Linked DNA regions of Caenorhabditis elegans. The protein of the gene in region 2 purifies or fractionates together with the protein of the main gene of each other region. This does not show direct contact. Each region holds a gene or a part of one and is shown on either strand. Other genes may lie near its edges.

Evidence for each region.
Region 1: the proteins of atf-6 (region 2) and T22C1.9 fractionate together in Caenorhabditis elegans (co-fractionation; one large-scale study listed by BioGRID). This does not show direct contact.
Region 3: the proteins of atf-6 (region 2) and snpc-3.4 fractionate together in Caenorhabditis elegans (co-fractionation; one large-scale study listed by BioGRID). This does not show direct contact.

Annotation. Positions count from the first base shown.
Region 1 is NC_003279.8:7,955,034-7,960,658, reverse strand, and holds T22C1.9 (uncharacterized protein), read right to left. Parts: upstream 2,013-5,625; 5' UTR 1,951-2,012; coding exon 1,846-1,950; intron 1,802-1,845; coding exon 1,714-1,801; intron 1,378-1,713; coding exon 1,016-1,377; intron 786-1,015; coding exon 753-785; 3' UTR 501-752; downstream 1-500. Other genes in the region: T22C1.12 (C6 domain-containing protein), read left to right, coding at 126-254; T22C1.8 (Protein-tyrosine phosphatase), read left to right, coding at 2,340-2,478, 2,527-2,681, 2,833-3,013, 3,059-3,446, 3,552-3,751, 3,799-3,908, 3,956-4,525, 4,570-4,602.
Region 2 is NC_003284.9:12,476,801-12,487,050, forward strand, and holds atf-6 (Transcription factor atf-6 homolog), read left to right. Parts: upstream 1-4,147; coding exon 4,148-4,240; intron 4,241-4,296; coding exon 4,297-4,488; intron 4,489-4,780; coding exon 4,781-5,056; intron 5,057-5,104; coding exon 5,105-5,275; intron 5,276-5,325; coding exon 5,326-5,502; intron 5,503-5,550; coding exon 5,551-5,790; intron 5,791-5,836; coding exon 5,837-5,922; intron 5,923-5,971; coding exon 5,972-6,202; intron 6,203-6,434; coding exon 6,435-6,651; intron 6,652-7,385; coding exon 7,386-7,472; 3' UTR 7,473-8,104; downstream 8,105-10,250. Other genes in the region: F45E6.1 (Serpentine Receptor, class Z), read right to left, coding at 1-82, 135-264, 309-456, 510-641; tbc-13 (TBC1 domain family member 13), read left to right, coding at 8,254-8,547. UniProt on the Caenorhabditis elegans protein: Transcription factor. Plays a role in the unfolded protein response (UPR), perhaps mainly during constitutive endoplasmic reticulum (ER) stress, by activating transcription of genes involved in the UPR.
Region 3 is NC_003281.10:4,015,990-4,022,383, forward strand, and holds snpc-3.4 (snRNA-activating protein complex subunit 3), read left to right. Parts: upstream 1-4,047; 5' UTR 4,048-4,170; coding exon 4,171-4,273; intron 4,274-4,318; coding exon 4,319-4,457; intron 4,458-4,508; coding exon 4,509-4,613; intron 4,614-4,658; coding exon 4,659-4,770; intron 4,771-4,818; coding exon 4,819-5,004; intron 5,005-5,062; coding exon 5,063-5,220; intron 5,221-5,266; coding exon 5,267-5,533; intron 5,534-5,601; coding exon 5,602-5,788; 3' UTR 5,789-5,894; downstream 5,895-6,394. Other genes in the region: tbb-2 (Tubulin beta-2 chain), read right to left, coding at 77-270, 326-799, 877-1,395, 1,468-1,633; tftc-5 (General transcription factor 3C polypeptide 5), read left to right, coding at 6,182-6,277, 6,323-6,394.

The DNA.
Region 1 (5,625 bases), on a different chromosome or scaffold from region 2:
AATGGAGTTAGAATCCGATCTTCTAAAAGTATTTGTTTAAATTTCGAGAAATACTCGTTGTTTTCTAATTTTAATTATGTTTGCTGTTGTGAATCTCAAATATTATAAACAAGTTTCAATTCCAGAATTTCTCAACAGTTCGCCGCCATGATTTGTCTGATAAGTACAGTATCCGATGTAACCAAATGACAGGAGTTTGGCTATCAGACGAAAATTCCGAGATTAGTTATGTGCCTATCGTCCGATGCTTGTGAACAAGGTTTTCTCTGGAATTTGGGAAGAGTTTAGCCATTTCTTCAATGTGATCTGGGATATCTTGAAGACTAACTTCGGATTCCTAAAGTTTATCGTTGGCTATGAATAATTTTGTTCGAAATAAATATGTTTCATCATCTGATAATGGAAAATTAAACTGAATGCAGTACGATTTTTCAGAATTTTAGATTCATATTTCGATTGTTATTTTGAACAGGAAGAACTCACGGCATTCATTTATTTAATCGGCTGTATGATTTTATTGAAAAATTCAAATATCGTGTGAAAATCAAGAAAAAAAGTAGTAAGTTGAGGATATAAATTGCAGTTTAAAATTTGAAATTTTCCTGGTAATTGGCTCAGAAGGTGTTTAAAATAAGTAGAATGGCATTTGTGAACAGTTTCATTCATAAATAAAGATGCTCTACAGTTCTATAAGTCTACAAGTTTGGAGCATTCAACATTTGCTATTCTTTGGTGAAGGTGAAGAGAGTTTGCTACTTTTTGAAGTTGAAGAAAGACTTGCCCAGCTGTAAAAATATTTCATTAAAAGTTTCCAATTGTTGGCAGCAATATTTTCTTATTTTCTTTGTGCTCATCAAAGCTTTTTCTACGATAAGCGGCTCAGGTGCCGCTCCAAACCACGCAGGCAACGCCTACAACCACGCTCAAGACTGCCAGCTTCTGCGTGGTCTAGACGCGTTGCCTGCGTGGTTTGATTTATCTGAGGTACCTTCAAAATTCAACGATTAAAAAAAACCTTTTTAAATCCACTCGGCTCGTGTTCCTCTTCAGAATTATGTTCCATCTGAACAACATGAGAATCTCGTCCTCCATCGTTTCGATCTTTATTATCATCCTTTTGATCACCATGAACATCTTCCTTCTTATGATCATCATGTCCTACATCTTTTTCAGATTTCTTGGATTTTGTAGACTTCATCGACTTTTTCGATCTGATACTTTTGAAGCTCTTGGCCAACGATTCAGCTTCACCCAATGCACCTAATTTTTTACAAGTCTTTTCTGATTTTTGAGCCATTTTGGGATCCGGTTTCTCTTCTCCATCTTTTGTCACAACGGTACGCGCTTCAAACGATGGATGGTTACATTCTTTACCCTCTGAAAAACATCCAGTTCTAAAATTCCAACATACACATTTTGATTGTTTCTTATGGGGTTATTCAAGTAGTGTCGGAAAATTAAAAAGTGTAGAAAAATTACGTCACAACTGTATTCAAGTATATAAAAACGTGTATTTAAATACATTTGTGAGGTCACAAATGTATTTAAATACATTTTGCTACATTACTTAAATAACCCCATTAGAGATCTTTTGCAAAAAATATCAAAGCACCACCTAAACCAGAGCTAGGATTCTGAGAGCAAAGAAAATCTTATCTGAGCAAAAGCCTGACAGGAAAAGTTCCACAGAATATTAGAATATTCTAATATTACTTTTCAATCTCCACATAGCACACATAAACCAAACAGCACAGCTCAGAGTACAGAAGACAAATCCAACAGAAATTACAATCCAAAACCACTGAAAAATTTCAAAAGATTAGAAGTTTTTAAAAATGAACTTACCATTGGATAATAATGATGATCGTATATATCAATTGTGACATTATTACCGAGAGTCAAAACTCTTTTAGTGATAAGTGAAGACGAAGTATTTGCCGGTTTTACCATCTCTCACTTTTGAAAAGTCAGGAATAAATTTGATTGTTCGAAGTCGTAGTAGATTTGTAAATAAGATTGTTTAAGTTCGTTGGCAGAAATAAAAGTTCACGCATTTCAGAAATGTGAAATTTAGAAAATGTTATTTTCGTAAAAACGTAAAATACAATTACAACAACATATATGTATATATTTTTTTAATTTGAACTTCCACGTCCCCCCCCCCCTCCTTATTTGAAAGTTGTCAATATCAGAGATTAGTCGAAAGTTGAATTATTTCTACATTTGTCTTCGTCAGCTTCGAACGAAGAAATCAAAATAAAACCGACGCTTCTCGAAAAAAACGAATCGTTCCGAGATAGTGTAATCCATCAATCAACGGATCAGTGAACTGAAATAAAATGCAACGAAGAAAGGGAACACGTGGAAATTCGCAGGATGATCAACAGGCATCTCGACGCCTTGCGAAAAAGCCATCTGACGAAAAAGTTGATGAAAAGGATAAAAAGAAAGGAGGAGTACTGAAAAGATTGGGATTTCGTGAGTTTAATCATACAGTATTATTTAGAAAAATCTGAATTCTTTCAGTTCTTCACAATGAGAAAAAGGAAGAGGTTGGAAGCACCCAGAAAAGGAGAAAACCAAAAAGAGGAACCGAACGGAAACGAGCATGTTCTCATCCGGTCTGGAATCCTGACAAGAAGATCCACTTCAATAACGAAAAAACGCATGCCATAATCCCGGTAAATACTTTTGGACTTTTTGGACGTTAATTATATTATTATACATTCCCGTATACATCGGGAAGGGTGCAGGTAGACTGAGAGACCTCGTCCGGGTGGAAAGTACAATAAAAAGAGAAAGCACTTCTCAATCCGAATTTATGATTTTCAGTTAAAAGGCGATCCACTGTCGGATGTACAGAAGAAGGTTTTCTTCAAGTTTGCAAGTGATGCTGTCAAGAAGAATCCTCCAGAGTACTCAGTCGAATTCATGACAAAAGTGAAACCATATCCTGGTCAGCCAATGGAACGGAAAATCTTTGACGCGAACCCAACAAAGAATCGCTATAAAGGTATGAAATATAGGAACTTGAATCGAATTAAAATTAATATTTCAGATGTTGTTTGCAATGACATAACACGCGTGATTCTCAGTGATGGTGGTGATGGAGATTATATCCATGCAAACTATGTAAATGGTTTGAACGCTCCGTTCATTTTGACACAAGGCGCCACTGCAGCAACTGTCATTGATTTCTGGAGAATGGTTGTTCACACGAAGACTGCCTACATTGTGATGCTATGTGAGGTGATGGAAGACGGAAAGGCTAAATGTGCCCAATACTATCCGGAAAAAGCTGGAGAAGCAATGACTTTCGGAGCATGGACCATTCTGTGTTCATTGGAGGATGATAAGGATGCGAATATCATCAAAAGAACATTATCAGTTAGAAATGTGGACAATGGGAAGGAACATATTTTGAAGCATTTGCATACAAAGTCATGGTAAGCCACTGATCTTTACAGAACAACATTCGGTTTAGTGTCATTGAAAAACCAAAATCAGAAAACTCAAACTGAAAATCTTTATAATAATAGAATTACTTTCAGGCCTGACCGTTGTGTCCCTAACTCTACGATGGCTTTGCTCCGAATGCTCTACATTGTGCGCACAGCTTCCGGCCCAGTCACTGTTCACTGCTCCGCCGGAATTGGCCGAACAGGCACTTTTGTTGCGATTGAAGCATGTCTTCAAATACTGACGGATGGGAAAGAACTGGATTTGCTGGGAACTTGTAGAGCCTTGAGAAGTAAGTTAATATTGAAATGATGATTTTTATTAATCACGTTTTTTAAGACAGCCGAGCCGGAAGTATTCAAGTTGACATTCAATACATGGCACTTGTGCAGATTCTGATCAACTACGGAAAGGATAATGGCTACTGGGATGACTCGGATTTAGATGATGTGAGTGTGACTTCAGTGGAAAGCAAGGTTTATGTATTATATTTCAGAGAGTTGAGCTTCTCACTTGGAACATCCAGCAGTTCATCCAGACACGTGGAAAAGTGGATCACGTACCAACAACACCATCCACACCAGCACTCAACATCATTCCAGCTGATGCCAAGCCTGTTCCAGTTGTTCCAAAAGAAGCTACTCCACATCATTCTCCAGCAGAAAAAGCACAAGAATGCATGGAAAAGATTTGCGAAAAGATTCTGAAACCTATCAAAAAGGACAAAGAATGCAAAGAGCACAAATCTCCGAAGACTGAACATCCAAAAGAATGCAAAGATCATCCACTTCCACTCGAAACAAGATCTTCTTCGGAAGATGGACCTGATATGGAAGACCAAAAAACTCAGGCGACGCAAAAAGTTGAGATCAAAGAGGAAACTGCTGCCCAGAATGACAATATCAGCATGATCTCTCTTCCAAATGAACCACTTCTGTCGATTCCCGTTGTGAGAAAGAACAGTAAAGATGGTAACAAGGACAGTTGCGATACGAAAGAGAGCAAGGAAACAAAGGGACACGAGAAGAAGAACTCCAAGGAAGGCAATTTCAAGCTGGTGAAAAAGGTATAAAGTTCGAATGTTTGTAGTCGTAACTAATTTATTTTCAGCAATCTGCCAACCGTAGTCAATACTTCCTGTAATGTTCTGCCATTACCAGCCCGCTCTTGTGATCTACTATCGAGTTCCCAAAATTTTTTTCCTTGAATGAATGGTTACTTGTATTTTTTGAGTTTTCACATTTGATTCATCTTTGCGACCAAAAAATTAGACATCCGGTAACCTTTGTCCGAGTGGAACAGCACATATTCACCTCATTCTCGTAGTTAGCTCCGTCACCTTCAGTCTTATTCTCCTCTTCGATCGAAAATCGCTGATCTTCTTTGAACAACGATACGATTGTCGGAGAGCGGTCTAGAACACCTTCAGCTTCATTCTTCTAAATACTTTCAAACTATTTTCAGTCAGACATTTGTAAAAGTTCAATACTTTATTTTAACTTTTCAAATAACCAACTCCATGATATATTATTATATTTGTTTTTTTTTCTTCAGTAATCACAGTACAGGGATACAGTTATCAACATGATTTGCTTCAAGAAACCGCAAAACCTGAGGTTTTGGAGGGCTCTGTGCATCCAACAAAAAGAAAAAAAAAAGAAAGACTGCCCTTTTTAGAAAAATTTGAAAAAAGCCTGAAAACAAACTGTGAATTTTAAAATTATCAGAAAATTGGAAAAAACGTATATTTTTTTAAATGAGATCGTCGCTTAGCTTTGTCTGAGGGTCGTCATGCTCGAAGGATCGGCGAATCTGGAAAAATCACATGCCCTACGGTGTTCAATTTTAGATATCGGGAAACAATAAATAGATCTGAAGAAAAAATCCCTGTTTTGCATTTCAATAGACTTTTTCTTTGTTTTCGTAGTTCTTCAAGTATTTCAATCTCTTCCTGTTCTCCACATATGATGTCCATCATCATCTCTCTTTCTCTCTTTCTTATTTTTGGTGCAAAGTATCGGAAGGGTCCAGGAGCGAAAAAAAACGAAAGAGGAGGCGGGGTACACGTCAGAAAACCGGAGGAATTCGACAAGCAGGGTGAGGAGAAAAAACGAAGAGGCGACGTCAAAAAGTGATATGAATAGTGTAATTTTGTGGGAGAAGCTA
Region 2 (10,250 bases):
CTTGTTTGAAGCAAATATTTTGTTAATTGCAGAAATGATTGCAACAAAGTACAACATTGTCATGTTGAATGTCAATCTGGCTCTGCAAAGTTTAGATATGTTAAATTTTTTTGACATGTTTCATCAGTAATTACCCCGTCATCAGCTTTCTTCCGAGTTTTTCAATAGTAAGAAGCATGAATCTTTGCATGGAGGAAATGAAGATAAGGTAGTAAAATATTGTTGCAACAATTAGAGATCCATGAATTAGTAAATTTGTGAACACTGTAAACAATTTCTGTACATTTAAATTTATAACTTTAGCTTACGCTTGTATAAAAAACGAATCCATTCAGATTTTCCAGTGAACCCGTCGGTTACTCTTATTATCAAAAGTATCATCAAAACTATAAACGATCCAACAATGTGAACAGAGCTTAATGTCACCAGATTGAAATGAATCGCATAATATGATCTCTAAAAGTGCACCTTATTAAAAATGTACTAACGCAGAATAATGCTAAACTCACTTTGTCGTCAGTCCTTTTTGTCATGTAGTACAACCAGACGACTAAAACAAATGGTACAACACCAATACATGAAACTGTGAAATCTAATTCATGCTCAGCATCTTGCTGAGCACTTGAGTTGCTAGAACTCATATCCAAGAGTGATTAAACTACCAAGGGAGTGTAAGAACCACAAATGTTTTGTGATTGTCAAATATCAGATTGCAATTTTGGAGCAAAGACTTGATCAGCCTGTTACGTTTCAAAGCCTTGTTCAAATACATCTACTTATTCTAGATTTCACCTGTCCCGTTTTGTAAGGACATTTGACGTAGTAAGTTAAAAGGTTATTGAAAATTAATGCTAGTGCATAAAAATATCTAATGAACATATTGATAGCAAGGCAATGCAAAAACGCGAAGGTTCTAATTACCGAAATTCAGAAAGGTCCTGAACAATGAAGACAGACATTCTTTCATACATTTTTATTTGCGTTGGTGCAATAGAAATATCAGAACATGCTCTTTGCATTTAATGTTTTCTGTCAAACGGATAAAAATTATTAAAAAAAAAAATCTCGCCAATGCAACATTTTGAAGAGAATCTAAGTGAAACCAAAATAAGAAGTGATAATCGAAACTATGTTTGTTTCTAATGCACAGTCTTAACCAAAAAACACATTTTCATGTAAAAAAAAACTATAATTCGCAAACCGTTTTAAAGTGATATGAAGTTTTGAACTTGGAGTTTTTGAAACATGACGATTTGTTCGAATCAGCATGGAAGGCTTTCAACTAAATTAAAAAGTGATATAAAGAGCAACAAAAATTTTTATTCCACGGCAATGTTAGATTCAATTGATTGTTTAAAACTGCCTTTTTGCCAACCTATCGGTTGCAACTGTTGGATATAAACTTTTTCGAATATTCTAGTATTTTGTCAGCCGTTAAAAAATGCGTTTTAGAAGTTGAAAACCAATACTTGAAACAAAAACTAATGTAACTAAAACTCTGCAAAAGCTTCTAGAAAACTAAAATAACGTTCATTTTTGACATGGAATTGGAATTATAACATATCTAATTAGAGAGCCGTTACCAGAGATATTAGATTTTTTAAAATGCTAAACATATGAGTGCATTTTTTCAATAAAGCTTTAGACCGATTTTGCCGGAAATTGACTTCTACGATAGATACACATATTACTAGTTTAATCTATTATATTCAACAGTTGTTCAAATTTGTTTGCGTCCCCCCGTTTTCCTGCTTTATTTTCTTTCTCGTTTGCACTAACAATATGAATTGTATGCCCTGTTTCATATGTTATAAATACCCTGTTATGATGAATACACTTGCTGATAACAATAAAATTAACAACGTTACTCTTTAAATATTAACAGAGGAGAGGGTATTCGATAACAAGCACTTTATGTTTCAGGTAGTATCAGAATTGTCCTTTCACGTGTTTTCTATAATGATAGGACGGTTTTATGAAAATATTTTTTAAAAGTATAACCAATTGTTTTCCAGTTTAAGTTTAAATTTTGAGCAACATTCATTTTTCAAAATAATTTTTTCACTTAAAATATTTTTTTAATAGTGAAAACGATGAAGATTTTACAAATGTTTTTCCCCTAAAAAAGGGAAGACATTTTTTTCACAGCAACTCGCGTTATATCCTTCAAGTACTTTTTTTTATTTTTTAACATTTTATTGTAGTAGCTTCACCAGTTATATTATTCCATAGCATCATGTTTAATCACTTTTTATGGTTGAAGCTTCTGAATTTGAAAGGTCATCACTAGCTTTCAATTTAATTTTTTTTATTTCACAAAGCATCGCCCACTTTCCACCCCACACAATTTATTTTATGAATCGCTGCTTGGATTGCCCAAAAGCACACACAAGTGCACATTGGTCCTCGTACATAATTCAATGCCATAGTAACACACTTAGCATCCCCCGGCCGTTCTCGACGACGATTAGTGTAGTCCTAGCCAAAAAGTGTTCACTTGCACTTTTATTTTATTCAAATGAAGTGCGGTTCCATTTGGTGCTACTATGCTACACGTCACGTCGTTTTTTTTCCACTCGTTCTTTTTGTGTATACTAATGCAAAGTGTTTGTTTTTCACTGCGGGGTAAATTTAATCAACAGAGGTTCATATTTCTTGTGTATTGTTTATAAGATCATTCTTGTTGATACTTTTACTTTTGGAACAGTTTTGACAAGAAATGTTAGCTTTTATGTACTAACAAATCAAAGTGTGATGTGAAGAAATACCAGAACTTTCAAAGCCACTTGCAAGAGTATACACAATAAAAGTTTTCGTCGTCGATATTATTTGAAAGTGTTCCTTTCTTGGAAAAAAATTTCTCATGATTTGCTTTTTATTGGTTTGGTTTTCTAGAAGACATTGTTTAATATTTGAAGAAAATTGTCGGAAAAAATACTTGGGGTTCACTAAAAAGTTATTTTTCAAAGTATTTAGAGATTTCTTATTAGTGTAGTTGCGCGGTTATCGAATTTTGTATTTGAAAATTAAATTGTATACATACAAACATTGCAATATCGCCTACCTTACTACCGTACTAATTTTCCATCAAATTGTAGGGGTGTAAGATTAATATAAATTGCAAGAATTATTTTTGTGAAACTGATTTGACGCCAACTAAAAATATGAATGTTTTTCCATTAGGAATTTCAATGGCCATTTTAACTTCGAAAATTGACTTTACCCTAAAAACAAAAAAGTTTACAAAACAAATATTCCACAAAGTATTGCTCGCCTGTCAACAAGTCAATGCTAAACTATTAGGAAACCCAATATTTTCTCTAATACAACTACAGTCACAGGACAATCTATTATATTGTAGAATTTTCTCTGCATATTATTGAAATTTAAAACTTAAATTTGGTTTGGTCTTTTTTTCAAACCCAGTGGATGTTCGTCTGTTGAGCTTTAGAAAAGAAGGCAAACAGTATTAGTCAATGACTGATAAAATTATGCACAACCGAAATAAAAACTAAAGACAAGTAGAGAAAATACAGTATATCATTTTTTTTTCTATGAATTTTTGCTTTAATTAGTGGTTTCTTTATTTGGTTTATAAAATAAGATCGTAAAGTAATATAGCCGCTATCCCTTCCCCGTTTATTACCTTACTACTATACTTTTAGTGACCCACTTTCCATTTTTTGTCCGTCTTCCATTTTCGCTTGCCCACTCCTCTTCCTCCGCAACAAAAATTCTGCGACAGAACAAACACTGCGAGAGCGCCACCTCGTCCTCATCTACTGTGGTGGCCTTCTCACTGTCACTGTGCCGGGGACTCTTTTTCTCTGACTCTGCCCCCCCCCCCCTTGCCTCTCCGGTCGTTTGACCGGCGTACTGGCAGTGTGCCAGCCGGGGTCGTGTGCAAACGCGCTCCGTTGATATTTCATTGGATGCTATCCTTAATCGTCTTGCCCTCCTTTTTTCATGGTCACTTCTTTCATCTACCTGATTTTCGTTTCTTGCTATTGAGATATATCTAAGATTTTTTTTTTAATCTTACCAGTTTCTAAAAATGTGATTGAGTTTTAGGATTATTTGTCTTTAGAAACCTATTCTTCTCTTTTTTTTCTCTAACACTGTATTTCAAAAACTTTTTAAATTTCAGATGAACTTTGACAATACGGTTCATGAATCAAACTTTGATGATCTCCTGCATAACCCAAATTTTCCGCCGCAATTTGACCAGCTAGAGTTGGACGTGAGTTTTCTTTCTGTGTCTTGAAAGGACCACTAATACAAAATATCGATTTTCAGAGCCTACTTTACGGGACCGACGAATCACAAGAATCGACCTCTTCCTCTTCGTTTGGTTTCAGTGATCAGAATGCTGGATTTCGCTCAAGAGACGGCGGGAGTTTAGGAGATTCTTCGTCGGATAGCTCTCCACCGTTGAGTTGTGCAAACTTCACAGAAAATGACCAGGAAATGTGGGATTTTGGCTTTCAAGTAAGTTGTTTTTTTTCGCACAAAACTCGTTAAAAATGTTTGTCGAAACGGATCGTTTACACTCTATTGTTTAATGGAAATGTGTTTTATTTTAAACAACCTTACATGCAAGTTGTTGTGTGTATGATGTTTGCTCCTACCATGAAAACTTAGCACGAAGACAAAATTTTCCTACAGAATTACTTTACTTTTAATTTCGGGGTACGGATACTACACAAAATCTTGTTCAAAATTTAATATCAACTACAAAATCCTAATCTATCAATATCATACTTAGTCGTTTGTTTTGCAGAGTCGCAGTCCATTCGAGAATTTTGAGCAACAATTTGGCTCTCCATATCAGGACGACGAAGTGATTGCCGAGCCCACCAATGAATTCATGAACGCAAGATACCTCAGAGAAGAACCGGCCAAGCATTTGCCCATGCAACAAAAACGAATTATCACAATTCTCCCCAAACAGTCACAGCCTGTGAAACGTATTGTCAGCAGACCAATCCAGAAAGTATACCGCGTCAAGGAATCACCCGGCAGTCAGCAACAAACATACCGAGTTGTTCAGCCCTTGGTGAGCGATTGAACGTCAAGTAAAATAGTTTATTCGAATTTTTTTCAGATGCCATCTCCTTCACAAGCTACGCAACGCCAAATCAAGCAAATGTATTACAATGAGCCGGTTCAAGAAATTCATATGCAACCAAAAAGTGGTCCGCTGGTTCGACAAGTGTCCGAAGAGCCAAGATACGTTCCAATTGCTCCGACAGTAGATATCAAAGCAGAACCACAAGTGAGCTTATCTTCAAAACATATTTAAATTCATGACTTTACAATTTCCAGGTTTTTACTTCCGAGCAAAATCGAAAAATTCGGAACCGAATGTACGCCCAAGCCTCTCGCATGCGCAAGAAGGAAGCCGATGAACATATGAAAATGAACCTTCAGGAACTGCTTCAAGAAAACGAGATTCTAAGAACTGAGAATGCCGCTTTGAAGCAACGCCTTGCGTTTTTTGAAGTAGTTCTGAACTCATAAAAATTTTAACATTTTAAAATACATTTTCAGCACGAAGAGCCAGTTGTCGAAGTTCCACAACCCTTTGGAAGAAATCAGAAGAAAAAAAGAATTATTGCTGCTGGTTCAGTACTAATGATGTTCGGACTTTTTGCAGTCATCTCTCCATTTAATGTCGATAACAATTTGAATATAAACAATCAAATCATGGCAATTTCCAACGAAACTTCTATGGTTGCTCGCCACGGAAGAGTCATCACGTATGAAGATAGTGCTCCTGTTGCAAAAATTGTATGTGTACGAGCTTAATATTTAAAAATCTCTTATAAAAGTTTAGCCTACTCAACAACCAATCCACAACTATCCGAACTCCACTCAAAATGATTGTGATATGTACAAACTAAACGCCACAGAGACAATAAGGTGAGGGACTTGAAAATGAACAATTTTTATAACTGACTACTCTTTTCAGAGTAAACAACGACATTGAGCGCTGGGTACAAGTACATTCATTTGATAATGTTCCAATGAAGTTTTCGGGAGGACTATTAAATAAGGAAGCAATGCGAAAGTTCAACTACGCACAGAAAGTAAAACCAGCCTCAGTTTATGGACCACAGACATTGGCGGTTCAAAAGAAATCAGAGCAAGCGGCGCTCAGATCTCGGGAACGTACATGGAAGCAGTTGGATCTACTGAAGACGTAAGTAGACTTTTTCTTTAATTTAAAATTCATAATGACACGAATGGGCACACTACCGACGTAATCGAACTTCGAGTTCATGTTTTACTTTGTTCACTTTGTATTGAGATGACATGACCGTAATTGCAAACGAAGAAGTCGGACCAATTGAAAATTATTCAAATGCATTTGCAATTCCAGCAGCAAACAACAAAACTATTTCAATAACATGTAAATAATAATTAATTTAAAGCGGAAACAATATTCAACTGGATAACGAGAAAATTCAACGTAAACGACAAGATATTGACAAAATCGCTTCAATTGTTCGCCAAAAGGGAGATACACTGTACATTATGACACTTCAAGACTACGTGCTTCTGCCTTCATTGATTAAAGGAGCAAACTCGGTTCCCAAACTATCGTTGCTCCTGCCTAGTGTTCCAATGAATGGAACTCTCCAAGATCAGGTAACTAGGGAGTTCAAAAAAATATGATTAGTAAAAAAAAATATTTTTGTTAAACTGTAGGCATTGATTTCACAACTGTCAAATTTGCCTTCAGTATCAGAAAAAATATATTAATTGCAAAATTCTCATGTCTCTGTAAGTTTCCTGACGTTCAATGCGAGTTATTTTTTACAGTGACTTTAATTTGAGATTTAGAAATGAATTGATCACAGCCATTGGTTGATTGTAGTTTTTTTAAAATCAATTTGAACGTTCAAGTAGTAGGAGCAGTTATATTTGTGTAGATATTATCAAAAATGTCACTAGTGTTACGTTGCATCGTTATTAGAAAGAGAGACTTTGAAATTTTTTTTTTGATTTTTGGATTAACGGTTTCTTTCATTCTATGGATCTATAGAGTATTAACTGTAACTTTATATGTTTAATTTTGAATTGCCAGAATTTTGACAAAAAAAATTACCAAAGTAGAGCTCTAAAACTGTTGAATAATTCCAAGCTTTTACAAGTTGCAGTTAATAAAATAAAATTTATTCAACCAGTTTAAAAATTGATTTTACAACTCTGAGATATCATGTAGGAATATTGCTTGTGCTTGCCTGCGTGAGATTTAACGGATAGGTTTTACTCGGCATGTGTTCAACAGCTGCAATTTTTAAACCAGTTTCGTAATATGTGCAGCTTTTAGCTAGATTCATATGTAGGTTCACTTCAGTTTTATTGAGTTCAATTTTCAGTATACTCTTCTTCGAGTTGATTGTGAAGTGACAGGGACTGGCCAATTGACACTTTCCAACAAGCAACTTTCATATTTGATGCCGTGATACTGATATTGATCAACAACTACGCTTATTATATTCCCACTTTTCTCAATTTCCGTGCCTTTTTTATTCACCCACTTTACCTTTCTTCTTTTGATTCGTTTTTATCAATCTTTTATGTTAAATATTCATTATGCATTTCTGAAATCGCCGGTCACCGATCAACCTCTTTTTGTTGTACCCGTTTTCGCTGCGTCTCTCACTTTACATCAATCATATTCCGGTCTTTTTCGATTGTCTTTATTTCTCTCAAACTCTCTTATCTCAGTCTTATTCCTATTCCAACACATATGTATTGTATATTAATTACCATTCGTTTTCTCATCATTTTACCAGTTTTTCAGAATTTTATCAACCACAAAACTCCATACAAAATATGCCAGTCATTGTCTCACCAAGTTCTAGTTGAAATCACCCAATTCTCATAACATAGTCATTCAGTTACACCACCATTGATGATATTCATCTTTCATGATATGTTTTATTTTGAAAGTCACTTTATTAATCTCGGGGTCTTAATTTATATAGTTTGATGTTCCTTTTTCTATTCAAATTCTAATTATAAGTGCCTAATTATCTGGGATTTTTGCATTTTTCTTGTCAATAATTATCTAAATGAAGGGTTCAAAATATTAGTTTCAAACGAAAAATTGGGTTCTATGTTTACCTGCACTGGTTTTTCTACTAGCTTTGTTATTTTCCGTTTGTTTCTACCTATGTTGTCTTTTCTCCTCCTTTCTTTTTTTTTTAAAACCTTTTTCACCTTCTACCTCTACCTTTCAGAATGACGTCTCGATATATGGAACGTCTTGCAAAAATCGAGGAGGTACTTCTCATTGCAAATAAGAAAATCGATATTAACGAATTGAGAGCCGGGTGTAGCTACGGAGTTCCCGAATCTCTGCGACCGTTGGCATGGCGTTTGCTTCTGCACTATCTCCCATTGGAGCGTCACAAGTGGCAAACATTTTTGGCCGAACAGAGAGATAACTACGATCAGATGATTGAGCAGATAATCGTGGAGCCGGGAACAGCGTCTTTGCAGCAAAGTGCTGCTCAAAATCAGGATAATGATCATGTATGTTTTGTTGTTTCGTTAAAGTTTAAAGAATTCAAGTTAAATAAAAGAAAGAAATAATGTAGACATCCCATAGATTCTTGTATTCAAATATGTTATTCCCCAAAAAGTTGTTTTTAAAGGCAAATACACTTTTGAAATTACATGACAAACAAGATTTCAAAAAAAAACTTCAAATTGAAAGAATTTATACAAAATTTGAGTTTTCAACCTGTCTATAAAAATTACTTGTTTGAATCCTACAATGTCTAGATACAATTTATTAAAATAGACTCAAAACTTGAAAATTATAGACACAGTTTTTCTAAAATTGTAATATGTATGTGAGGACTAAGTGAACTTTTCGACTGTAAACAATGTAATTTTCAAACAATTTTTCCATCAAACTTCATTATTTTGGCAATGTTAAAGTGGTTTCAAAATTTTCTATTAGCACTACTCCACAGTTAAAATTTTATGGATGGTGTGTCAAATCAATCCAGTTAAAACATAACCTTTTTACTCTATCAGTTTGCCGAATGATGTAATATACTTTATTAGCTACGATATAACATTATTTTTTTAAAGCATTGAAATTGACACAAGCAAAACTGAATAACAAGTTTTTAATCCATAAAAAGAGATATGACTTCTAGAAATAAAGATTAATTTTTTGAAAATTGAATTATCTATCACCAACCTATCCGGGACTTTCCACTCAGTAGTTCACAAGTTAGAGATGTTTCATTTTTCTCATTTTGAGGTGCGCTACAGTAATCGCATGGGTTAAGTTCATCTGGTATTTCTTTCTGACCAATTTGCGAAACTATTTGGATTGTTGACTGTTCTGAACTTAGTTTCCAAACTAGTATTTATTATTATATTTATTTTGATTTGAATGTAAAAAAATTGATACTCGAATTAACAACGAAAAACGTTTGCTTTTAAAGTTGTAAGTCCATTTTGTTTAGCCAAGAACCCTTTTTTTTTTCTAAATTTCCATGATCCCGTTTTTTAGAAATTCTTTAGATTCAAAACGATATCAATATTTCGAAAAGGTGCATCCCTCGTTAGTTCAAAAAGAGAAAAAAAAACAAAACTTGTGTTCTGTTTTTTGCGTAGGTGCGACACAAAACTTTATGACTCTAAGATACGTGGGAACTTTCGAATATCAAGTGCGGAAACGTTTTTTCTTCTCAGAACCTTTAATCTACTCCCTCAGTTCGGTTTTCCCAAGCGCTCCGAAAGTGTAGGTGGCGGATAAGAAATTAAACATCACAATTTATACTATTATAGGAACAGCTCAAAATAGAAAGCTTAGTATGCCACCTAAGAGCAAGAACCATATATGAGCTCAAAAAGAAATATGTTGAATAATTAAGGATTTGTAGCTTTTAATCTTATTTCAAAGAGATTATCTATACTTTTTTTACGCATACAACTAAATACATTACACACCAATACAAGTTAATGAAATTAAGAATAGATACATATTTGTTCATGATTCATCAAGTTGAAAATATGATGCATATCTCATATCTGTATATCAGTTTAAAAAATACAATATCCCATACAAATTAAAAATAAACTATGTACAAAATTGCATTTTTATTTTTAACAATTTGATTTATTAGTTGTTTCATTCTTCTTATAATTTGTTTGCAAGATATGAACAATGACTGCAAATTTCATATATCGAATTCTCCCAGACCATTTAGAATTTG
Region 3 (6,394 bases), on a different chromosome or scaffold from region 2:
AATTAGCGAGAGAATTTTTTGACAAAAAGAAAGAAGAGTGATAGAGAAGAAGGGAATGCTTGAAAGGATCTTGCATTTATTGCTCCGATTCGTAAGTCTCTCCAGCTTCTCCCTCAGCGTATCCGTCGACGTCGTCTTCGGCAGTTGCTTCTTGGTATTGTTGGTATTCTGAGATGAGATCGTTCATGTTGCTCTCGGCTTCGGTGAACTCCATCTCGTCCATTCCTTCTCCAGTGTACCAATGGAGGAAAGCCTTGCGGCGGAACATAGCTGAAAAAATAACGTTTTTAAAACTGATACTGGATGATAGTTTCAAATTTCTTACCAGTGAACTGCTCTGAGATACGCTTGAAAAGCTCTTGGATAGCGGTCGAGTTTCCAACGAAGGTGGCAGCCATCTTGAGTCCTCTTGGTGGGATGTCACAAACGGCGGTCTTGACGTTGTTCGGGATCCATTCGACGAAGTAGGACGAGTTCTTGTTCTGAACGTTGAGCATTTGCTCGTCAACCTCTCTCATCGACATGCGTCCACGGAACATAGCGGCCACGGTCAGGTAACGTCCGTGTCTTGGGTCACAGGCAGCCATCATGTTCTTGGCATCGAACATTTGTTGGGTGAGCTCGGCGACGGTAAGGGCACGGTAAGCCTGGGTTCCCTTGGCGGAAAGTGGTGCGAATCCTGGCATGAAGAAGTGAAGACGTGGGAATGGAACCATGTTGACGGCAAGCTTGCGGAGATCGGCATTGAGCTGTCCTGGGAATCGGAGACAGGTGGTAACTCCGGACATGGTGAGGGATACTGAAAATTGTAATTATTAGGTTTCAATTTGGGTAACTTGTGCATAACTTAAACTTGAACAAGAAATAATAACTTACCAAGATGGTTCAAATCACCGTAGGTTGGGTTGGTGAGTTTGAGGGTACGGTAGCAGATGTCGTAGAGGGCCTCGTTGTCAATGCAGTAGGTCTCATCGGTGTTCTCAACAAGCTGGTGGACGGAGAGGGTGGCATTGTATGGTTCTACAACTGTGTCGGACACCTTTGGCGATGGTACAACCGAGAATGAGCTCATGATTCTGTCTGGGTACTCTTCGCGGATTTTGGAGATGAGAAGTGTTCCCATTCCAGATCCGGTTCCTCCTCCGAGAGAGTGAGTGAGTTGGAATCCTTGAAGACAATCGCATCCTTCGGCTTCCTTGCGGATCACGTCAAGCACATTGTCGACAAGCTCAGCTCCTTCTGTGTAGTGACCCTTGGCCCAGTTGTTTCCGGCTCCGCTTTGTCCGAACACAAAGTTGTCAGGACGGAACAGCTGGCCGAATGGTCCAGAGCGGACAGAATCCATGGTTCCTGGTTCGAGATCGACCAACACGGCGCGTGGCACATACTTTCCGTCTGAAAAAATTTAATTAATTAATCATTCCAACTAAACGATTTCGAAATCTCCAGAAAATTTTAAAAACTCACTGTTGGCTTCGTTGTAGTAGACGTCAATGCGCTCAAGCTGGAGATCCGTCTCTCCCTTGAAGGTTCCGTCTGGCTGGATTCCGTGCTCGTCGGAGATGACCTCCCAGAATTTGGATCCGATTTGGTTTCCGCATTGTCCGGCTTGCACGTGGACGATCTCTCTCATTTTTGCTGAAAAGGTCGTAATGAATTGAAAAACTATATTTAGATAGAGAAGATGAAGGAAAATAACAAAAGAAAGAGAACACGTCATGGTCGATATTGAAAAGCAATGATTCACGGCAAAAATTTAAAATTAAAGGAGTAAGTTTTTTTAATACATTGAAATTTGAGAGATGTTTAATTGGTGATTTGATTCTAGTTTATTGTGCTCTGAAATTAAATGATTCACGGCGAAAATAAGAAATTAAAAGACGAATTAGGAATAAGGTTGAATAAGGTTACCTTGAAAAATATAAGAGATGTTTAATTGGTGATTCTTTTCTATTCTATATAGGTTGATTCTAGTTTATTGCACTCCGAAATTAACTACTTTCGATAAAAATTTCAGCGCAAGTACCTTTCTATTTGCTCTAAAATGAGCCCACTTTTCATAATCGCTACCCCAAAAAGGAAACAAAAGGACGTTGTAGGAGCAGACATGCAGCTCTTGGGATGTATGGAATGGAGACGAAGAAGAGGCGGGTCGGGCGCAGTTGTGTCCGACGCTGTGTGCATTCGGATCGATAATCGCGAGAACACGGGGCGCGCGGCGCCCGCTCGCATTAAAAACCGCAGTGGCCACTGGGGCAGCAGTCGTTGTTGGACTGCAAAGGGTGGTGAAATCGAATAGACTATTGCGAAATATGCAGATATGGGTAGAATGGGTGAAGAGGAAGAGAGCAGAGGCAAATCTATTGCGAAACATACACAAAATGTCCATCAATTCCCTCTCTTTTTGCTTAATCCATTTGTTTTGCGTGTCACCACTAGGTTTGGCAGAAGGAGATAGAGCACACGACACAGATGGCTTTTCATCGGGTGCAATTTGGTGCTATTGGTTTGGGGTAGAGAGGGAGATGCCGCTTGGCGCGCAGTAATCCTATGGGAACCGAATGAAATGTGCTGGGGGCCTGCAGCTTTGAAAAGCCTTCAGAATAAAAGAGATGAAGACGAACCGTGAAGAAAAACGAGGGACAAAAACTAGTTCAATGCGATGGAAATCGTACCCCTGTTGACGGCTGCGGTGGTGGTGAATTGAGAATTGCGGAGAAAAGAGAAACGGAGATGACGTGGCAGTGACAATCGGCTTGGGGTCGCCTATACAATACGATACATATGCAGCCAATACTTCGTCACACATGCAGCCAGTCAGAGAAAGGTCAATTACCGTAGTACACGCGCCAGGAGACAATGTTAATGGGTACTATCTAGATCAGTTGCTGGTTGGATAACGATTTTAAAATACAATCCAAATCAACGGGAAGCTTCAAAAAAAAATTCCAAGAAATAACTGACGAAAAAAGTCGAGTTAAGGGTCGTGTGTCGGCGCTGGGGACGAAAAAGAGCTCTACTCTTACCCCCACTTTCCGTTGTCGATGAGACACATTATACCAAGCGAGAAACATAGAGACTGGCGCCGCCCGTGCTTCCCTCCCTTCTCCCGTCGTTTTTCTCTCCGCGCCCTCTATGTTTCGGATGGACAGGGACGCGAATGCTTTGTGACGGCCTTGACCAACGGGCGACAGCGGTGTCCCTTACCAACCCGCCACAGGCGAGGCATTTCAAAAAATGTGCCCATCCATCTAGCAATTTGAAAAGACGACGCGCCTGGCTTACGAAGTTAAGGAACTAGCCAACTGAAAAAGTGGAACTCAAAATATTAATCAGTTGCAAAGAGAAATTCTATTTCTGTGATTCATTCGGCGCCGAAAAGTAGAAACAACAGAAGAATTTGAGCTGATAACACGCAATCTAGGGAAATGATAAGAACAGAAACAAACAGCAAACAGTTTTTTGGGGAAATTATAATGGAACAGATACTAAAATGACCCGAATAACCAGAAACCATGACAAGCTGTGCAAATATGTTACACGAGAAGTACTTGTACATGTCGAAAATGATGAATGGTATCCGCCTATTGCGCCCGGTTGAGCTGATCGCAGCAAGGACATAATAATTATATATCAGATAAACACGGTGGCTGACCTTCAAGAAAGATTATGGCGGCCTATTTTATGCAATTTTATGCATCAATCACGAATAAAACTACAAAATTACAATTTCCCCAGTCTCCTAAACCGCTGAGAAGGGAATAGTTTATGAATGAGTCACCTTTCACAGGAAATGGAACAGAAAAAGGAAGCTAAAATGAGGGGCAGAACGTTTTAGGACAGACCATTTGCAAATTTAAAGCGCGAAACGATGCAGAAGTAGCTTGAAAGCGTTTTAGGCAAAAAATTGCAAAAAAAAGTAGCGAATGAAGATGAGAATGACAAAAAGAGGGAATGTTCGAGGCCTAAAATTCAAAATTTGCCGCCCAACAAAATTTCCCGCGCACACAAATGTGCATTATTGCGCGTCGGTGTACAATAAACTGTGCAAACACCGTTGTACACCGTACCCCTCCAGAAAATTGTTTTTTTTTTTGAAAAAGCAATTTTTCGAATTCTTTTATCCAACTTTCTCCTCCGTATAACTGTTTGAATTCAATTTTTAAATAAATGGACAGAAAGTTCAATTCTGATGAACAATGGTATATTTCTCCACTGCTCAATTTAGCCACAGTGAAGGAAGAGATGCTGGAAGTTCGAGAGTTGGGAGAAGGTTAGTTTATTATCTTAAAACAATCGAATATTGTCGAATTTTCAGTTATTATCGATAGAACAATGGACGATTTCGATTCAAAAACCGAAAAAGAACATGAAATGGAAATGTGGAAGAACAGTCTGTCTTATATTCAAGGAGTAACAGAAGAAGAATCATTGGAAGCTATTGAAGAAGTTTCAAAGTAAAGTAAATTTCAAAAAATCGAAAAACAACTAATTTTATTGATTTTCAGCCTCGATATGTTTCTGGAGGGGTCATCAGACGTTCAAACTCGACGATTTGAAGATATGAAGGGGGATCGCAAGTTCCTCGAACGATCACCGCTAGTTTCCCACAAGTAAATATTATTTAAACCTTTTATTCAAAAACTATAATTTTTCAGACATGTGATAAGTCGAGAAAAGACTATGAAAACTTCAAGGCAGCGGAAGTCCGCATATGTCACGTCACTGAAATATGACAAATACATGTTGAACGCCGGAGCAAATACTTCTGTAAATTAATTAATAAAAATAAAAATCTTTATAAAATAATTTTTCCAGCTTTTCCATCCTCAATGTTCAATATTAGAGAAATGTGAAGATGACATTGTCCTTATCGTTGATGCACTGATGCCATACAATCGAGAACTTTTATCTTCTGAACTTCGGAGCTCGCGACTTTTGAAGCCAATGACCAAGTTTCTTGTTCGTGGAGACACCCTTCTTTCGGATTTACGGCAGAAATTTGTATGATTTTTTGAATTTAAAACACACATTAAATATTTAATTTTTTTTAAACTTTCAGGTATGTCAAAGTGATACAATTGTTCCATTGGAGAATGGTTTGGAGCTGGATCCACCGAATTTGGATAATGCAACCGCAGTTCGATTTCCATCATCATTTATATTTGTTCATGATACCTTTTATGTGGATATGCCACCCAATGCAATTGACATTTCACAGTAATTAGTAATTTTCTTTAGAAAAATGTTTAAAAACATTTTTCAGCCCAATCCGCAACTTTATGCTTCACCGCGAGATTTATGATCCAGTGGAGGCTTGTAGTATGGAAGGAGTCAGAATTATTGACCTGAAGCTGCGTCTAGGGCAGCCGTACATATTCCAGCATTCTGGGAATTGTGAACATCTACTCGTTTTTCATGATTTGCGACTTCTTCATGAATCGGACCCGTGGGGAATCGATAAATATCCATTCACCTTATACGAGAAGGGAAATGAAAAGAAATGTGATATTTGTAAAAAAGGGCATGTGGAGTAAGTTTAATTCGCAAAAATTATTGTTTTTCCTCAAAGTAAATTAATTTAAAATTTTACATTTCCAGATTCGTCGTCGAACGCCACGAGCTTCTTCCCAACACCTACACACACTTCTGCAGGACATGCTTCCAGGAGTTCAACTATGTGCATGGTGTCAAGACGCATTCATTCATTGCTTGGCCGTATACAGAACTACAGACTGGAGAGCAAAGAGGATGGCCGTTTGGAGATTTTGAACAAGAAGATGATTGAAATAATTTTGATATTTATTTCTATTTATTTTGCAAAAACTTTATGTTTTTACTGGTATTTTTTATAGAAAAAAGGAAATGCTGGACATTTAAAAATTTTATTGTTCTTTTTTAATTGGATTTCATCTGATTGGTTTTGTAAACCATTTTTATATATTTAAATTTGAGTTTTTAAAACTATTGAATTCACTCGACAGGCGTATACGTATTGTGCGTCGAAACACGCTTTTACTCGTATAATTAAATTAAGAAGCGTGTTTTGACGCACAATACGCAACTCGGAACTTATGCGGCAATTCGAAATTAATTCAACCGTTTAAATTTATTTCGAATATTTGCAATCTTTATCAAATATTTAGACCACCTTAAAGAATAACAACTTATTTCAGGAAAAATGAACGATTTTCTCAATTTCACACAACAAAAACGCGAGGAGCCGCAGCAGCTGGTCCTAATCAAATATCCAGGAATTGTCAAAAATGTTGATAAGGTTGGAATACATACGGTATTCAGCAAATAAATTGTCTCTTTTCAGGCACTTCAAACGATGGGCGGTCTCCAACTAATCAGTCAATCTCACTTCAATAATCATTCACTGGAATTAAGT